Linked DNA regions of Styela clava. The protein of the gene in region 2 purifies or fractionates together with the protein of the main gene of each other region. This does not show direct contact. Links are inferred from orthologs where the notes say so. Each region holds a gene or a part of one and is shown on either strand. Other genes may lie near its edges. The genes, in order: RNA transcription, translation and transport factor protein-like; protein FAM98A-like; uncharacterized protein LOC120343555.

Region 1 (3,758 bases), on a different chromosome or scaffold from region 2:
CTCTTGGCGCTAAGCGCCATTTATCATATCAGGGGGATTTCTACTTTTAGTCTGTCATCTGAGGGATCGGGGCCTTGGTTGAAGCAAATTTGCAAGTCTTCTGTTAGTAGGTACTCTTTTAACTTTTAGTTGAGGTTTCGGGACCTCGAATTGAGCAAATTTGCAACCCTTCTATCTACTCTTTGCAACTTTTAGCTAAGGCAGTAAGGGATCGGGACGTTTCTTTGAGCAAACTTGCAACTTTTCTATCAGCACTCTCTCCACTTTCTGACTTTTAGTTGAAGGCTTGGGACTTTGCTGTGAGAAAACTTGCATCTCTTCTATCAGTACTCATTTAACTTTTAGTTGAGGGTTCGGGACCTTGCTTTGAGCAAACTTGCAACTCTTTTATCATCTACACCGTACGCTTTTTACTTTTAGTTGAGGGGCAGTGACTTTGCTTTGATTGAGCAAACTTGCAACTCTTCTATCAGTTGCTTGGAATAACTGCCGTCGTGCCAGATGCCCTGGTTTTGGAGACAAATAGAGTGTTTTCTGTGTTGAACCAAATTTCAAATTGAATAACTGTGCCATATTAAACTGAGTCAATGAATCAAACCCCCCCAACAATTTCTATTTCTCTATATTCTGTTGCATTTACTGAATTTTAGCCAACTAAAGAGTTTTATTACACTTTTAGTTCAGAATATCTAATTTCTAAATCTGTTATAATTAAACAGCACTACTGCACTATGACTTCAAAATCATTCCATATTTTATTGTGCTGCACTGGAAGTGTGGCGTGCCTGAAGATACCTTTACTAATACCAGCTTTAAAAGAGAAATTTGCGGGGTGTGGAATTAAGGTGGTACTTACGGAGAATAGCGAACATTTTTTGAATTTGGAAGAACTTTCTAAGGAAGCTACCATTATAAAAGACAAAGAAGAGTGGAATGTATGGAAAAAACCTGGCGACAGGGTTCTTCATATTGATTTATGCAACTGGGCCGACCTGGTACTATTTGCACCTCTGGATGCAAACACTTTAGCAAAACTAGCGAACGGTTTATGCGATAATTTAGTATCGTGTATCGCACGAGCTTGGGATTTTAATGCCAGACCGGTAGTGTTTTGTCCGTCCATGAATACCCAAATGTGGCTACATCCAGTTACTGCACCCCAAGTCGAAACCCTTAAAAAGTGGGGGTGTAAGTTTGTCTCCCCAGTCGTGAAAGTACTAGCTTGTGGGGCTGAAGGAATCGGTGCCATGGCTGAAATAGAGGAGATTGTTGAAGCTGTCAGTCAAAATGCTCCAAAATAAAAAAAAATTGAAAAACTTCGAAGTTATCATTGTAAATGTCCATATCTGGATAATGTCACATTCTGAAATTCTGCATTGCAATCAATTTATATTCAGAACATTCAGGCCGGACTAATAAATATAGGGTGTAAGATCTTAAAATTTTTTCAAATTGTAAAGGGAATTTATCGATACCATATATTGTTTTGACCCTCACAGATGTAATGAATTGAGTAAAAATACTTGCACATTTTCTGATTAAAAAAACAACAAACCTGGTTAAAATTTATTGAGAACTGAATTCATAACAAAATTGAAATTGTAAAGGGACTTTATGGACACCCCGTATGACAAATTTAACTCCTATGTAATTTTACTGCAAATAACTCATATTTTACATGTAATCAGGGAATTTTACAGTATATATTCTTGAGGAAAACTTACTTAGATAACCTTATTTTCAGTTTTGTTTAGAACCAAATTTGCCTTGTTATCATGTGTTATTATTTCAGCTGTCTAAAATAATGCTGTCTTAAATCAAAATTCATCAATTTCATGTTATTGAATCTCAGACAAAAGCACACTAATAAAAAGGCAATGAATATTGTGTAATATTTGAAGCATTTCGGTACAACATGTAAACATACACATTTTTCACTTAGCAATCAATGGACAATAACTAAGCAGAATTATTTAATACTAACTTGGCTATGTCACTGTCAGTCACAGTCCATTGATTTTTGAGATAGAAAAACATTTTTTTGTTATGTATTATCAACTATTAGTTCATGTGTGTTCCAATTTATGCACTTTTTTCCTTCATTCTGAAGAGATGAATATAATTTCTTGTTCCATTCCTATGCTATGTCCAATAATCCAAGAATACACTTTCTTATCTTTCATTTTTTCATCAGATATGTAATGTACAATATGAATAAAGCATTTCAAAGAAAACTCTCAGCTTTGCAATTCCCACAAGCCTCAAAGTTCAATGCAAATGGTGAGGAGTTGTTTTGTTCTTGTGTAAAGATTATAAAATTTATAAATGTAAGGGGCGGGCAAGACAGCGAGATGAACGAGGTTGACTGACAGTTTTTGATTTCAAAATACAGACTTTAAAGTTTGAAAATGAATTAAGAGAGAATGTTTGTTGAAAGACGAGGCTCCTATGGCTTCAGCTTTATCTAGGTCAGTGGTTCTCATTCTTTTTTTCTGTCGTGGCACATTTTTGTTGCACAGGAATTCCGTGGCTCATTAACTTTTCCATGCCAGGGTATAACTACAAGAACAAGAGAGCTACGCCCAAATGTATGGACATGTCTGTTCGCAGTACAGTACGGTTTATCGCACCGTCAGATCACAGTCTACAAATATATTCACACCAAGCGAAGCAGTACAGTCGGACACAAAATGGCGTCCGATGTCCGCAGAACGTTCGGTGACGTCATAGCAAACAAAAACAAATCTCACAGAACTAACAGAAATATTTGAAATAAATAAATGTAATAGCCTTCTGGAGAAAAATTTTATCTGTAACCACTGAAAATTTCAGAGCAATTGGTCCAGTAATCAAAAAGAAAAGCGACTTTTTAGATTTTCCACTAGGTGTCCAAAAAGTGGTGTCAAAGAACAAGAACAACAACATAATATTGAAACGATCGCTATGTCCACTACGTGTCCAAAAACAAATGAATCTTCCTACAATAAAAAAAAAATTCACTTGAATAATTAAAATTACCACTCTGCAGCTAACAACAGCAGCATCATTTTAACTATAGTGACACAAATAAAACTAAATTTTCGATAACTCTTGCAATTTTTGACAGGTTTTCATGGCCCAGTAGTGAGCCATGGCCCACTGGTTGAAAACGGGTGCTCTCGGTAAATCTGGCATCAAGACTCCTTTTTTGGTCAAATAAACAGATTTGCTAGTTCAATTGCTTCTGTTTATCATGACACATTTTTTATTTTTCCTAGATGACAAACAATTCAAACTCATCATACTTTGGATAGAAGACCAAAAGGTTCGACATTACAAAATCGATGAAAGACAAGAATTAAGGAAATTTGAGGTAATTGGTTGTTTAATATTAAAAGATTGATCCAAATTGACTTCCAATTATATCGCAAAATATAAAATCAATCATAGCAATGTTCATTCTAACTTTTCTGTATTACTAAATCGAATCATAATGGGAGCCTCTTCCCCGAAGTATCCAACTGAATATCCCCGAGGCCAGTTGCACTCATATTCTCATATGAAGACCCTCCCCCTAATTAGCATATTCAAGGTAATTTCGCAAATTTCTTTATCGAGCTGATCCCAGTCCAGAATATATTCAAATTGGTTATTATCTCTGTTTGAACACTTGGACAAATTTGCTCACTAACTTTTTCTGTTGTCTGATTTGTAATGTTTTTAGGAGCCAGCATGGACGAAAGCATTTACTAAATATTTGACAGATGTGATGTGTCCTT
Region 2 (3,758 bases):
AGTTCAGATGGACGTAATGATTAATTGCTCATTGCATACGAGCAATGCCAGCATTAATCACATTCTCTGGCATCTCAATTTACTTTGGTAAGTCAACGGAACTGTTGTTGTTGTTGTTAGTACATCTTTCTGTGCTTTGAAGGCCCAGGAACGCAGCTATTCATGTGTTCAATTTTCGTAATTGCGTCTATAATACGCTAGCGAAGGTTATCTCGCAGTCGAGTGGAACTGCAATTCCGTAGGTTAGACCAGACGGCCTACCGGCGAACTATTTTCATTGGTAGATTTCAAATTCCATCATGATCAAATAATTCACGTACAAGAAAGTGAATACCCCCTGACCCTGTGATCGCAAATAATCCTATTCAGGTAATGAAACTGCCGTGGAAAGTATGCAAACGAAGTCGCTATATAATAAATTATTAGTCTTGTGTCGTGGCCCCCCTCGAACTGCTTCGTGGCCCCTGTTGAGATCGACTATGGGAGAAAGCAGGCTGCCTGTGCCAGCAATACTGCTCATTGAAAGTGATTTAGTCGAGACATTATCTTTTGACGATATTTTTTCTGAATTTGCTTCAATGAAAACTAGACTTCGATAAAACTTTCGATGAAATTTACTATTCACTGCTTTAATTCTTCTGTTGTGTTGAATTTTATTCAGCTTTTACAACACAACAGGAACCATTCTATTATAATGGCTACAAGTAAAAAAATGTTACGTGGTTATCAAGAAATTCCAGTACATGTAATTGCTTTTAGTAGTCAAAATAGTCAATAATGGTTGGTATCCCAGATAGAAAGCATAGCCATAGAGTGAAATACATATAGTGATTTTTAAAATCAAGTACCGGTATAAGTCCATAATTACCGGTAGTTAAGAAATCGCTTGACTCCATATCAGAAGGTTGCGTGTTCAGATCACGTCGGATTCACCAAATATAGTGATTAGTTATCACCACACGTAGATTGTTTGTAGATTTGATCTAATTGTGTGTGCATTGTATTTCTGTATATTTCGTCGGAATTGCAATAAACTCATAGGATGTGGATTACCAATGTAACGCTTGCAGAAAATCAGATTGCATGAACTGATAACGCAGAGCTCAAAATGACCGGAGCGGACAACTTGCAGCAAACTATAGATACGATATATATATTCACCAAATATAGTGATTAGTTATCACCACACGTAGATTGTTTGTAGATTTGATCTAATTGTGTGTGCATTGTATTTCTGTATATTTTGTCGGAATTGCAATAAACTCATAGGATGTGGATTACCAATGTAACGCTTGCAGAAAATCAGATTGCATGAACTGATACCGCAGAGCCTAAATGGCCGGAGCGGACAACTTGCAGCAAACTATAGATACGATATATATCTGTATATAGGCTTTGACTTACAGCAATATTTAGGTGTTGCTCTCACCAGGAGACAGGGGGATGTAAATTTAGCATAGCCTATCTGGTATCATTTTTCTTTCGAACATGTATTTTGGTGTGAAAAAACTAGGCGCAGAAGTCAGGAAGTGGTGCACAACGCAGGTTCGTAAGCAGATACGATAGAAACGCTTTAGGATAGGATTTACATAATATGTATCCCGGGCAAAAGGAAAGCGATAAGACGGCTTAACCGGTTCCATTACATTTGAACCCACGTACATTTGAACCCATGACAATTGCACCTGTATGCTATTGCACCTATGGAATTTTTTTTGTTTCACGGATAGTTAAACCCATACTAACCCTAACCCATGGGTTTTAGCACCCGCATATAGATTGAACCCGTGGATATACGCATGGGTTCAAATGTACGGTCACCGGCTTAACCATATGGCGAACCACGGCCTCTCGCCCGGTTACCATTCCAAGTCGGGTACCCGGTAGGTATGAGATTTGTTAGTTATTTGTTTGGTCTCGTTGGTTATTTGGACTTTATGGTACAGGAAGCCGTAACCGAACAGCGGTTACGTGAACCACCCAACGGCGGCGAGAAGTCCAGCGATCCTCTCGCACATTACCATCCCTGCATGAGATTCGAACCTGCGAACCCACGCAGAGTAATCAGAGGCACGAGGGCAGCGTATTCCTAACGCTTAGCACGATGAGCCACACCGCCTACAGACCACTGTCCACTGTCACACCAGCCAAATATCAAATTTGCCTACAGGGGTGGTGACTCTTCTAAGGCCCATGGGCCGGGGCCACGGTCCATCTAATTGGGCCACATGGACCGTGGCCCATCAAGCGTTGGGCCGCTGCTCCATCAGAAAAAATTCAGATATTTTATCAAAATTTTCAATTTTCACGAAATTGTCAATATTCGAACCAAAAAAAATCGTGGGATGCCACAGGAAAGGATACTTTTGTACCGTAGTATGTGTACCAGGTTGGGGTTAGGACAAAATTTTGTTCAGATTTTCCAGATTATAGTTCTATTATGAGTTCGGGGACTGTCTGTGTTAGCCAAGTGAATAGTCCCTTCACAGAACTTGATGGGCCAATTCGATGGGCCGTAGAGGAGTCACCACTTCTACTCGTTTATCATCTGATTGAGCCTTGTTATCGACTTTCCTCACCCTCTGGATAAATATGAAAATTCTAAATACAGTACCTACTGAACTAGCTTTTATTCTGGTCTGTTATTACTATTCTCCAGAATACATCAAGGAAAATTGTATTAGGCTTTTCAATTTAAATAGACATAACGTGGCACTGATCATGAGCGACAATACATCAATGATTCAGGATATCTTGGATAGCTTAGATGATTTGAGGTACTTGTTGTTTACTCTCTTTCGTCAGTTAATCATCATATGTCAGATTGATGACTGACAGATTAGCATATGCTGATATGGTACAATGCACAGGGGTCAGCATTCAATAAACATGATCTGATGATAGTGTAGATTGGTACAAATTGACAAAGGTGGATTGGTCTTAGCTTTAAATATTAAAATTGGCGATGAGGCATGTCTTATTTCGAGTATTTGTTTTTTTAGGTTATCAGGCAATATCAAGGATGAAGTCTCTTTGTGTGCGGTTGTAAAGAATGGTGCTTCATCACCAAAGTACATCCAACTTGTTGCTACTGCTGCAAACGAACTTGCTCTGCTGCTTCAATTAGAAGAGAGAATAACTCCAGGTTCGCTCTTGAATTGTGAAATAGAGGTCATTCAAGTGTGTCATAATTCCAGAGATCTAGAACAGGGGTGTGCAATCTGCGGCCCTCAAGGAAAAATTGTGCGGCCCACGGAGAAATGCTAATTGTGATAGATGTGCGTCCCGCGAAATGAGTTTTCAATTCAATTTGGTCTGTGCGTTGCGAAGCCTATACCTGAGTCCAATTTATTATCTATGAGTCATGACTATGCCTTAACAACTAGCTCGTGCAAGCAACGCATCACGAGATCAATAACCAAAATTTTTTTGCTTGCATCTAGTAGATAGCCTATGTAAGGCGCGACCCGTGGTTTCCCCCAGTTATTTGAATCTGACCCTCCTGTATTAAATGTTGCACACCCCTGATCTAGAAGTTAGAACATTACTGTGGTACGGTACTTCTAAATTTCGTGGAACTTATTATAATATTATTGGAGAGGTCTAGTTCAAAGTTTTGAAGCAAGTAAAGGTGTGCAAAACGCTTGTGAGTAAACTATAAGTTACGTGAACAAACTTGGTATAACCCTATTGGAAAAGCCTGCCTGTAATGAACAATTCTTGTCAACTGATTCAATTTTGATTGATGAATCTTTTTT
Region 3 (3,758 bases), on a different chromosome or scaffold from region 2:
CGGAAATATACATTCTTCCCATAAATTACCATTGCGGCACTTCTATGGCCATTTTCGCGAATCAGTGCTGCAACAGCTTTTTTTAAAGTAAAATTTCGATTTTGTTCTCCTAACATAATTGCGCTTTTGGTAGAGTTTAGTTGGTACAAAGATGGTGGTGAATGGACGGGCCCTAAGAATTCAAGATAATGTTTCAAATTCTTATTCCAACCCCTAAGCAAGTGCGTTGACTGATCATTCTCACAAAATCTTCACAGGAAGCGTCTGATAAATAGCGTCAATTGGTGCAACTTTGTGCTCTATCGTTATTAGCAGCTTAAATCGGACTTCAAAATTGTAATGATCGAACCAGATATGAATATCTCTGTGGCAGAATATCAAAGTGAATTTGTTAGATCAAGCGACAGATCTATCAGACAGGCCCGCGATCATGGAAACCGATAAAAAGCGCAAAACCATGTTGCGTCATTGCGTCGATGATGAAGGAGACTTTGGCATCACATGTCGCGCGGCTTCGTATTTTAGACGTTGTTGCGTCTGATAAATTTGTTTTCAGTTTCGGCTGCGCCATCAATGCGTTTCGGTACAAGTAAACTATCAGAATATTTAACATTTGGTAGTAATGAAATAATAAGTAGACTATCCATGATGACTGATTTATGAACAATACATTATAGGCTAGCTAGGACATTGTTGTCAAAATATCACGGTACCGTACCGGTACTCGTACCGAAACCGGTATCAGTTTTTCTAAATGCATAAATGGGTCACGCATGTCAGCATGTGATGTACCAGCAATTCAGCATACGGTATGGTAACGAAACCATTGTACTATTCAATTCAAGAGTCTTGCTGCACACGAACACAAATATATTTATGTAACGTTTCGTCTGACTGAGGTCAGACTCAACTGTTACAGAAATATATGTGTGTTCGTGTGCAGCAAGACTCTTAAATTGAATAGAATAGCCATTTACACTCTTGCTACAGCATCCTTGCATAATACGCATACGGATCCACCTGCGCAAACGCATAGAAAGCAAGGAAAGGTAGTTAGTTTCACGCAACCTCAACTGTTAGAAACCATTGTCTGATTGTACAGTACAGATATACCCGTAACGTCAGAACGTACCACAGTACCAACTGACCTATTGTAGTATTGTGCAGTACGGTACGGTACCCTACCGGGCAAGATATTCTGATATTACACCTATGAAAATATCAGTATAGCAGTATGATACAGCACTGTCATACTGTTGCATAAATCAGTACCGTACAGTTCATTCACGTATAAAACATGCACTAGCAATGATTTTCACATTACAGCATTATGGATTGTATAAATTTTTCCAAAAAAATTTGCTATTTTTAAAAGTGAAAAATATGCTCATTGTTCAACTGTTCACACTCAACCTCGAATAGAACGTTTAGCATTTCAGAACTTTGAACATCTATCTGCGTTGAGACTTCAAAATTGACCTCATTCAGTCATACTCTGCAGTCAGGCAGTGTGCAGAAGAATTTGATGCATCTCGAGTCATACTCTCAGCTCTATATTGTAGTTGAATATGATCGTCATAACGATGCTAGTAAATATTTTGATGAATGAATTTTTTGTATCATGAATCTTTTATGGGAATTTTATAGAAATTATAACCTAGTGACAGCAATATTAACAAAAATAAATAACTGACTAGGTATATAAATCAAATAAGTTCAAAGCACCCCATTTTCAACCACAGAGAGTGTGCAACTTGCACTCTAGCTTTCGTATGGCTGGAATTTTTATAGTGTGTGCATAAATATTTATAACAATAACTGAGTAATAATTTTTGACTAAACAATATTAGTAAGCTACACCGAATACAAAGTTATTTTTCTGTAATATCTCCCTGGTTGGAAAACGCTGCTGTAACAGCTATGCATTTTTATCAAGTTGCTATTATTGCGAGAGGCAGCATGAACTAATTACACATTTGGTACAATTTTGGATGTACTTGCCAGTTCGCAAAAAATCTTGATTTGAAATTTTCCTCATTGGCTATTTTTGAAATTTTTTCTTATTGGCTAAACCTTTTTGTAATTTATCCAAGTTTACCTAAAATGGAATTTTTAAATTGCAATTTGTTAGTGATTACGGTAGTATGGAATTCTCAAGTTTACGCTGTAAATAATAACCAATTTGTCCGTAATATATTGTTTTGAAATTAGTTATAACATACTTTGTTTTTAGGTTATTTACCTTATTGCCAAATCAGGCTTTCTAAATTTGAAAGTGACCAATAATTGCTATTCTATAATAGCCTTATCAAATTTATTGTTCAAAATTTTTTTGATGATTCAAAGCAAAGAAAACTAGGAAGGTTTGAAATCAACCTGAAATGAAAATTCTGGAATCTGGTTCTTAAAAGAAGTACATCGGATCAATTTTCATCTTTTTAATTGCGGAAAATGTATACACTGTTTCGTGAAATAGTGAAATAACATTTTTCATGAAGCGATTTTATGCAACCAAGTGTTGAATCAAGCTTTGTATTTATGATAATTTCATGTCAATGCTGAAACTGATACGACAACTAATCGTTCATCGATAAATTCTCAAATCCAAAATGTCTGGAGCAAGCAAAGGTAGAAAGTCAAAGAATGTGAGGTGAGTTTGCCCTCGCTTTTATATATGCTTTTTTTCTAATTTTAAATAAATTTATCAGTTATTAAATTCTTTTTGTACCCTAACACAAATGTATTTCTGTAACAGTTCTCTGTAGAGATGCCCTGAACATTTCCTATATTTGTCATATAGACTTCGTAAATTTACTTTTGTGAAATGCCAGCCCATTAAATATTCAAATGTTCCCAGTGTTTTATAGTAGGATATTTTCTTTCATACTACAACCTTATTACCATGTCGCACACTTTTTAATAACACTGTTACATTTATTGTCTCAACCTTTTACGTTTGTCGCATTTCTTTATTACTTCCTGCAGTTCCATTTGTTTTTATATCAATCATTACAAAACTGATCGATGTAACTCTGTTCCCTTGCTGTTCAAGTCAGATTTGTAGATATGATATACTTTCGTGAGATGTTTGAAACATAACCCAAAATAGGCAAGGAAATTTATTCGGTTAAAGTAGGGAACATTTATCATTATTTTTTTTTCAGGCCGGGGTCGAAGAAGAATTCTAGCCAGAATCAAAGTCCGGTATGCAAATAATCTAGATGAATATAATTTACTGAATTATCCTAATTATTTTCTAAACTTCCCTTTCCATATTGATCTTTTTATAAATTTCTGACACTTCTATATTAGCTTCATATAGAAACTCAACTTGGTTTTCCAAAAGAAACTGAAATTCTTACAAACTCAGTTCTAATGAATATGATATTTCAGCAATAGGGGAATCAAACTACTATTTGAATAGTATTCTTACATGTGCCAATGCAATGTATTATGAGGAATAAACCCAAATCAAATATAACATATGCCATGCAGTGCATATATCAGCAAAGCAATTTTTCATCGATATACCTAATTGGTGTGGAGCGGTTAAATTTGAAGAATTTGTATTTATTTTCGATATCCACACTTGAAATTTCTAATAAATATTGAGATTGTGAAATGGTTATTCCTCCTATTATTCTTAAAATAAATTCGTCTTTTAAACCCAATCTGTGACATTTATTAATTTGCTTTGTGAGAAATTCATTATTCCTATTTTGACTATTCCATTTTTCAGCCATATGAAGGAGCATATG

The links.
Region 1: the proteins of protein FAM98A-like (region 2) and RNA transcription, translation and transport factor protein-like purify together in Homo sapiens (affinity purification with mass spectrometry; 4 studies listed by BioGRID and IntAct, with this or other methods). This does not show direct contact. The link is inferred for Styela clava from reciprocal best matches to the Homo sapiens genes FAM98A and RTRAF.
Region 3: the proteins of protein FAM98A-like (region 2) and uncharacterized protein LOC120343555 purify together in Homo sapiens (co-immunoprecipitation; 3 studies listed by BioGRID and IntAct, counting the BioPlex papers as one, with this or other methods). This does not show direct contact. The link is inferred for Styela clava from reciprocal best matches to the Homo sapiens genes FAM98A and ATXN2.

Annotation. Positions count from the first base shown.
Region 1 is NC_135255.1:20,598,977-20,602,734, forward strand, and holds the start of RNA transcription, translation and transport factor protein-like, read left to right. Parts: upstream 1-1,301; 5' UTR 1,302-2,144; coding exon 2,145-2,280; intron 2,281-3,257; coding exon 3,258-3,352; intron 3,353-3,703; coding exon 3,704-3,758. Other genes in the region: phosphopantothenoylcysteine decarboxylase-like, read left to right, coding at 732-1,301. UniProt on the Homo sapiens protein: RNA-binding protein involved in modulation of mRNA transcription by Polymerase II. Component of the tRNA-splicing ligase complex and is required for tRNA ligation.
Region 2 is NC_135250.1:11,660,983-11,664,740, reverse strand, and holds the start of protein FAM98A-like, read left to right. Parts: upstream 1-1,419; 5' UTR 1,420-1,545; intron 1,546-2,659; 5' UTR 2,660-2,721; coding exon 2,722-2,777; intron 2,778-3,002; coding exon 3,003-3,145; intron 3,146-3,758. UniProt on the Homo sapiens protein: Positively stimulates PRMT1-induced protein arginine methylation. Involved in skeletal homeostasis. Positively regulates lysosome peripheral distribution and ruffled border formation in osteoclasts.
Region 3 is NC_135252.1:15,483,021-15,486,778, forward strand, and holds the start of uncharacterized protein LOC120343555, read left to right. Parts: upstream 1-1,290; 5' UTR 1,291-2,609; coding exon 2,610-2,650; intron 2,651-3,164; coding exon 3,165-3,204; intron 3,205-3,739; coding exon 3,740-3,758. UniProt on the Homo sapiens protein: Involved in EGFR trafficking, acting as negative regulator of endocytic EGFR internalization at the plasma membrane.